Linked DNA regions of Macaca fascicularis. The protein of the gene in region 1 interacts with the protein of each later gene in a pairwise test. Links are inferred from orthologs where the notes say so. Each region holds a gene or a part of one and is shown on either strand. Other genes may lie near its edges. The genes, in order: FLT1 and SHC2.

Region 1 (3,814 bases):
GGGTGGGGGCTGCCCGTGGTCAGGAGTCTGCAGACCTAAGAGCGCCAGAGACCTAAGAGGCCTAGGCTTTGCCTTCTGCCGGTTTTACTGCCCAGGATTCCCCTACAACCTTTCCTTTTAGGGGGATTCTTGCCAGGGCTGGGGGTGGCAAGGCCTTCTAATGCACTCTTGTTCTAGCCCTTGAGCCTCATCTACCTCAGCATTTGTTTGTCTGCACTTTCTAGTGATTACTGCTGGTAGGAAGCAGCTGGGAGACGTGCAGTGCTGGCACTGTGTCATTGTGGGGCCACTGCAGCCGCCAAGCTGCTTTCAAAGACTGGAAGCAACAGGTGCCTGTCATCGAAAGCAGGGGAATGATTTTCACACATTACAGGAAACCAGGGATGTTACTGGGTGACTTTTATTTGCTGTGAAAGGCAAATTTTTGGCAAAGCCCAGAAGACTCTTGGCTAGAACTTGAGTTTTGGAGGCCTCAGATCATCACTGTGTGTCTGCAAGCAGATGTGGGCTCTGCAGGCATCTGTGTGCTTTGAACAGGGCTTCTAGCCGCCCATAGTGGATGTTTTTGCAAGCAGAATAAATACAACCAGTGTTCTTTACTGCTCATCCTGTATAATCCGGTGTCCAGAGCCGTATCATGTGTTAATATCAGAGGCACTGGAAAGGTCTCCTGTTTCTAACAGCACTTTCCTCACTGGGTTAGCTGGGCTTATTATGGCCTTTCCTAGGAAGAAATTTTGAGGTGGTGGGAGATGCGGGGAGGGAACGGGTAAGGGCGTTAGAGGTGTGCGTGTTGAGGAATTGGAAAAGGACAGAATCGGAAAAAGTACAGAAAAAGATAAACCCGACTTCAGACTTTATACCCATCTGACCTTGCTCATGATCGTATAAAGCCCTTTTACAGTAGAGGGCAGACAAGCATATGCCATTACTCATCTGAGAGTCTACATGGACCCATGGCACCCTAAGAGTTTTTGTTACAGTAGGAGCTAATCTAAAGGCTATCTAGCCAAAGGACATTCAGCAGAAGATGCAGACATTTATTTCTGGGCTGTTTGATCTCTTCCTTCTCCCAAATTTACCTAAGGAGAAGATTTCCCACAGCAATACTCCGTAAGACCACACGTCGCTCTTGGTGCTGTAGATTTTGTCAAAGATAGATTCAGGAGCCATCCATTTCAGAGGAAGTCGAGTCTGGAAGAGGGCAAAGGGGCCTTGAGCAGAAGGGCATGAAAACAAAGCACATTCAACCCAAGTGCCCATGGGGTCACCTCCCAGATAGCATATGGCCCATAAATCATTTCCTAGAGCAGTTCTGGTTTCTAACATAGAGAACACCACAGTATGCAGTGTTACACTAAAAGAGGGAGCTAGAGTGCTATACTGAGTCCAGTGAAGGCAGTACATGTTCAGTAAGCCCCTCTGATGTGTTCGGCATGTCCTTAACTGCATGGCTCTGTGAGAAATCCTCCCCCACAAAGAAAGCTTGCACTCCACAGGGACACTCAGGGCTTGGAAAAGGAAAAGTGATCTGAATTTGAAGATATCCCGAAAAATGGTGGTGATTTCTAAAAATTTTTCCCAAGAAGGAGGATTTTAAAAGCATTCCTATGCAAAAAGACAAGATTTCAAAAGTCACTGAATAGGGAGAGTGTGCAAAAGCATCAGAAAGAAGAGAAGAAGGAAAGAAGTCAGTGTTGAAAGAGAATATACAGTTGGTTTTCAAGCATGTAGACAAATCTTCCTCTTTTTCAGATAGCAGGAATCCCAGTGAGTTAGGCCTCACCACTTTAGATGATGGGGACTGATGGGAGGTATGGGATAAAGGAGAGACAAGGAGAAAGGAAGTGGGAGGGGCAGGGAGGCTGACTCAGATACAGATGAACAGAAAGGAGGGGTGGACTAACATGAAGGTTGGTGCCATCTCTCCAGACCAGGGCCCCAAGGAAAGTTTGTTTTCCTTTATTTTCTTTTATTTTTACAAAGGGTCAATGCGAAGTCGTATGTTTTGTTTCTATACAAACAGATTGTGGTGCAGTGGCTCTCAAAGTATGGTCCTAGGACCTGCTATGTCAGCACCTTCTAGAACAAGCATGTCCAATTCCTGGCCCGCAGGCCACATGTGGCCTGGGACAGCTTTGAATGCAGCCTGACACAAATTCGTAAACTTTCTTAAAACATTATGAGATGTGTTGCAATTTTTTTTTTTTTTTTTAGCCCATCAGCTATTGTTAGTGTATTTTATGTGTGGCCCAAGATAATTCTTCTTCCAATGTGGCCCAGGAAAGCCAAAGGATTGGACACCCTTGGTGTAGTAACTGGTTAGAAACGCAAATTCTCAGGCTCCACCCAAGACTCACTGACTCAGAAACTCTGGGGGGTGGAAGGCTTGTTAGGCCAGCACACCGTAGCATAACACGCCTTCTAGGCGATATGTATGTTCAATTAAGTTGAGAACCACTACTGTAACTCAGTGGTGCCCAGACACAAGCTTAACCCTCAGGGTATATAGGCTGGAGAAGGGAGGACATGGGACGTCACCTACAAAAGTGAAAAATAACACTATGTCTGAAAACAAGCAGGGAAGAGAAGCCAGTGCGAGCCAGCAGAGAGATGCTAGGCATGGAAGGCCATGGGAAGTAAACAGTCTCCTTCATAGTCAGCTACTGCTGACAGTCTTCCCCGCCCTTTCCTGAGACAGATACACCTGCTGAATCAATCACCCGGGTTTATTTGAGGGAAAGAGTCCAGGCTGTTCTTTTCAGTGGTACAAGGAATTTCCCCAGGATTCAAAGGAAGGTAATGCTAAGGTCTCACCCAGGCCCCACCAAACACTTCTCAGGTTAGCCAGTCTCACGAAGCACTGCCCAAAGGACAGGTGGCAGGCCAGGCATTAGGGGAGAGCAGAACCAGGAGACAGTGGCCTTTCTGAGCCTTACACAAGGGCTCTCTGGGATGCCGCTCCTCTGGACTGCTTGTCTTCACAGAAAGCCAATGATGGTTTTCAGGGACTACAGCTGAGGAAGTGTAAATATTTACCAAGTCTGTTGTTTAAAAGTAATAGGACATAAATGAGTCAAATAAGCATCAAACTGACTTACATCTCCTTTTCTCACATAATCGGGGTTCTTATAAATATCCCGGGCGAGGCCAAAATCACAGATCTTCACCACATTGTTCTCAGATAAAAGAATGTTTCTCGCTGCCAGGTCCCGATGAATGCACTATAATAAAACAGCTGCATAATCAATGCATTTTCTTAACCTAACCAACTAATTTCCTACACCTCTGCATCATTAATCTTAATTTGGTAATCCATTTCCCATGCTGTGAAGGGAGCACCTCTCAGTGCACACTGCTACCATAGACATGAAGAGCCTCTCTACAAATACAGGTCCCCAAGCCCCAAAGTCAAGACATGTTCTGAATCTCCTGGGCTACTATTTGATCAGTGAAGCTGGTTATCTCAGATTTACCAGTGGGCAAACTTGCCCCACAGCCTTTTATCCTGAGCTGCCAAGATGAGATCTTTCTTCAGCTGCAGTTTTGTGGGAGGGCCCCACATGGCTATATTAACAGTTGCTCTCCTATGAAGTCATGTATTGCGATTTGGGCCAGATTTGAAAATACGCCAGAGGGCACTGTGGAGAGCAGATACCAGATTCGTCTAGTCTGACACCTGTGAGTTTTCCCCAGAATTAAGTTCTATCCATCGGTATCCACGACTCCTCATTCTCAAAACTCCTCATATCAGGGCAAATTAAGGTACTTGCAGTGGTGTTTGTTCTACATTTAAGAACACAGGTAAGCCGGG
Region 2 (3,814 bases), on another chromosome or scaffold:
CATAAGTGAATGAGTGAGCGAGATCGTGAGTGAGTGAGATCGTGAGATCGTGAGATGGTGGGTGAGATCGTGAGTGAGATCGTGACAGATTGTGAGTGAGATCGTGAATGAGTCTGAGATCATAAGTGAATGAGTGAGCGAGATCGTGAGTGAGTGAGATCGTGAGATCGTGAGTGAGATGGTGAGTGAGATCGTGAGATCGTGAGATCGTGACAGATTGTGAGTGAGATCGTGAGTGAGATCACAAGTCTGTGAGGGAGTGAACGAGTGAGTGAGTCTGAGTGAGATCGTAAGAGAGATCATGAGTGAGATCATGAGTGAGATCGTGAGTGAGTGAGATCGTGAGTGAGTGAGATCACAAGTCTGTGAGGGAGGGAACGAGTGAGTGAGTCTGAGTGAGAGAGAGACCCTCCTCTAGGATCAAGGAGAACAGGAGCAGAAAGAAGAGCTGGAGGAAGGCCCAGGAGACCAGCAGCTTGGGCATCCCTGCCCCAGTCCCCACGAGGCAGAGGCTGACCTGGCCGAGGGCTGTGAGGGCGCAGGGCTGTGTCAGGGCCAGCCGGGAGTCCACCAGCCCGCCCGGCGGCGGCTCCTTCCCCGGGACGCTGTTGTAGTAACTGTGCTCCACAGCCTCCTCCTCGTCCCCCCAGGCCGACTCCTCTGGCCCCGCCAGCCTGGGGGACAGACAGCAATGGCCGTGGCACAGGCAGGGCCCAAGGGGGCTAAACCCCCACAGCTTGAGCTTCTGGGGGAGCAGGAAGGCCTGAGTTCGAATCCCAGCCCCCCGCCTGTCGCTGAGGGTTCCCACCAGGAAACGCTTCGAGAGCGAGTGACCAGGCCCACTACGTCCTCGTCTCTGAAATGGAAAGTTGCACACATTTCCAAGCTGCAGCACAAAAGGCAGGACGTGGGCAAACCCGGTCTCCACTCCTTTCTGCCCATCTCCGGTGCTGCCCGGCAGCAGAGGGCAGGAGCCAAGTTTATACCCAGAACCAGGACATCGCCGGTCAGGGTGGTAACTCTGGGATCAGAGTGCCCCCGCCCTCCGGCCCCAAAGGCGCTGGCGGGCTCCTCAGCAAGCACGGCCCGAGAGCCAGAGGGGCACACGCCGCCTGGCCCACAATCGCTGCCGGGAGAAATCACAGGGCAGCCTACGGAAGGCAGGGGCAGCTCCAGAGGCAGGCGAGGAACCCGTCCCAGCGTCGGAGCACGCCAAGCAATGTGCGTGGAGCACGCCGTCCCTGTGCACAAAGGGGTGAGCGTGAGCACGCGTGACCAGCAGGGCTGGGAGCTCACGGGCCTGCACCTGCCCTCCCACTGCTGGAGGAACGTGACTTTCTAATGATGAATAGACTTAAATGCCTCCTTCTCCAAGGCCGGCTGGCAAACCCCAGCCCAGGGCCAAATCCAGCTCACTGCCTAGATCTGTGTGTCCCACGAGCTAAGAATGGGCGTTCAGCCTCTAAATCATCAAAGTTAAGTGTTTGAGAAAACATCCAGAGAATCATATTTTGCGACACGTGACATTCACACTTCAATGTCTATGAATAACGTTACCAGCACACAGACACGCCCCCCCTCTACACATCTTCTGCGGTGAGACAGAGGCCGTTGAGCCGGCCGTGCGTCTGGAGGAGGGATGTTGGTTATAGCGGCAGGGCTGACAGCCTCGGGCACACCGGGGAGTCAGCTCGCTCAGTCTCCCCCAGTCCTGGGGGCGGGGATGCGTTCACCCGGGTGTTACAGCCGAGGAAACAGGATTCTCTGGCCGAGCCACATTCTCAGGGGACAGGGAGGGAGGGACAAGGGCAGGACGGAGGCCGAGGCCTGCAGGAGGTGGAGCCGGCTCTACACCCGGGCAGGTCGCTGGGGGCGTCCCCAGGGCATGGGAGAGGCGGGTCTGTTACCTTTCTGGGGGCAGTGCCACCTTGGGTGGGCTGTGCAGGTACTGCTTGAAGCGCAGCTCGAAGGCTTGGCCGACGGTGCTGATGACGCTCTGGGCCAGGCCTTCACAGCACTCCAGGATGTGGCAGGCTGTGGGGGCATTGGTCATGCGGCCTCCAAGCCACACGGCCATGCCCCCCGGCCACGGGACCCCCACCAGCCTCCCCGGGGAGCCTCACCTCTCTGGTTGATGGGGTCCTTGGCGACGTAGGCCACGTAATCCGTCATGTCCTGGGGGCAGGGAGGGGCCAGCTGGACCTGCCTGGGCCCCCCACCGGGATTCCCAGCCACCCACCCCAGCAATGCAGACAGATGGGGCAGTGGATGTGGGCACAGGGTACGTGAGGCGGGCTCTGGGGAAGGGCGAGAGGGTCTCGCGGCTGCAGGGGGCGGCGGGGCTGCAGGTCCACCCCTATCCCTGGCCTCACCGTGTCTCCGCCCGATGCAAAGGAGATGGACGGCATGTGGTGGTTGGCGATGACCTGTGGGGGCAGGAGGCACACGTGGTCATGGGGGCCCCACTACGAGGGCAGGGGGCCCGGCAACTGTACCAGGGCCACAGCGAGGAAGGGGGCAGGGGCAGGGATGTGGGGATGGAGACGTCCCCTGGACAGGCACCCACTGCAGCCGGGTCCTGGGTCAGCCTAGACGACCGAGGCTGGGATGTGGAGGCCCCAGCAGGACGGGACTAGGGCCCTAAGGGGTGTGTGGGGTCCGCAGGTCACACGGGAATGTGAGTGACAGACCACCCCCACTGCAACACCACACAGGCACCTGCCCAGACGCTCACGCACACACATCCCATGCCCCACACATGTGCACACACACACACACCCCCACACACCCGAAGCAGCCGTGGGAGGGCTGGACCCACATTCCTGACTCCCTTGTCTATGTGCAAGAGCACCTGTGAGTGCATTTGCATGCTCATCTGAATGCTCATTTGCATGCTTGTGTGCTTATTTGCATGCTCATTTGCATGTTCATCTGCATGCTCATTTGTGTGCTCATTTGCATGCTTGTGTGCTCATTTGCATGCTTCTTTAATGCTCATTTGCACGCTCATCTGCATGCTTGTGTGCTCATTTGCATGCTCATTTACATGTTTGTGTGCTCATTTGCGTGCTTCTTTGCATGTTCATTTGCACACTCATCTGCATGCTTGTTTGTGTGCTCATTTGCATGCTTGTGTGCTCATTTGCATGCTTTAATGCTCATTTGCACGCTCATCTGCATGCTTGTGTGCTCATTTGCATGCTCATTTACATGCTTGTGTGCTCATTTGCGTGCTTCTTTGCATGCTCATTTGCGCACTCATCTGCATGCTTGTTTGTTGCTCATTTGCATGCTCATTTACATGCTTGTATGCTCGTTTGCATGCTTCTATGCATGCTCATTTGCATGGTTCTGCTTCACTTGCTTCCCGTCACTCAGATCTCTCTAGGCCCCAGTGAACCCCCACTACCAGCCACGTCCTGAGTTCTCCCTACAGAACATCCACTCCTCAGCCCCCACAGGGACCCTGGAGGCTCTCCCCTGGCCAACCCCGGCCCAGCCAGGAGGGTCCGCTCGGAGCCTCAGCGTCCTGTCCGTATGGTGGTCAGGGGTCCGTGCCTCGCAGGGTCGGGGCGGAGATGGAAACTGCGTGGAAACAGCCCTCAGCCACCCCCGGCCAGCTCCATCCTTCTCTAACCTCCTCCCTGAAGCCCCAGCTGACCCTCGCCGCCACCCGCCGCCCCAACGCCAGCCCAGGGACGCTGCCTCGCCCCCAGCCCCTCACGATGGCCCATGCGAACTTCTCCGACAGGGAGACGCCTCCTCTCTCAGCCAGACCTCCCTGAGACCCCCTCCTCACCACCCCCCAGAGCCC

What was found.
Region 2: the proteins of FLT1 (region 1) and SHC2 interact in a two-hybrid assay, tested with the Homo sapiens proteins (2 studies listed by BioGRID). The link is inferred for Macaca fascicularis from reciprocal best matches to the Homo sapiens genes FLT1 and SHC2.

The regions. Positions count from the first base shown.
Region 1 is NC_088391.1:8,245,507-8,249,320, forward strand, and holds part of FLT1 (vascular endothelial growth factor receptor 1), read right to left. Parts: intron 3,225-3,814; coding exon 3,102-3,224; intron 1,195-3,101; coding exon 1,083-1,194; intron 1-1,082. UniProt on the Homo sapiens protein: Tyrosine-protein kinase that acts as a cell-surface receptor for VEGFA, VEGFB and PGF, and plays an essential role in the development of embryonic vasculature, the regulation of angiogenesis, cell survival, cell migration, macrophage function, chemotaxis, and cancer cell invasion.
Region 2 is NC_088393.1:996,850-1,000,663, forward strand, and holds part of SHC2 (SHC-transforming protein 2), read right to left. Parts: intron 2,427-3,814; coding exon 2,373-2,426; intron 2,176-2,372; coding exon 2,124-2,175; intron 2,035-2,123; coding exon 1,908-2,034; intron 857-1,907; exon of another isoform or gene 675-856; coding exon 518-674; intron 1-517. UniProt on the Homo sapiens protein: Signaling adapter that couples activated growth factor receptors to signaling pathway in neurons. Involved in the signal transduction pathways of neurotrophin-activated Trk receptors in cortical neurons.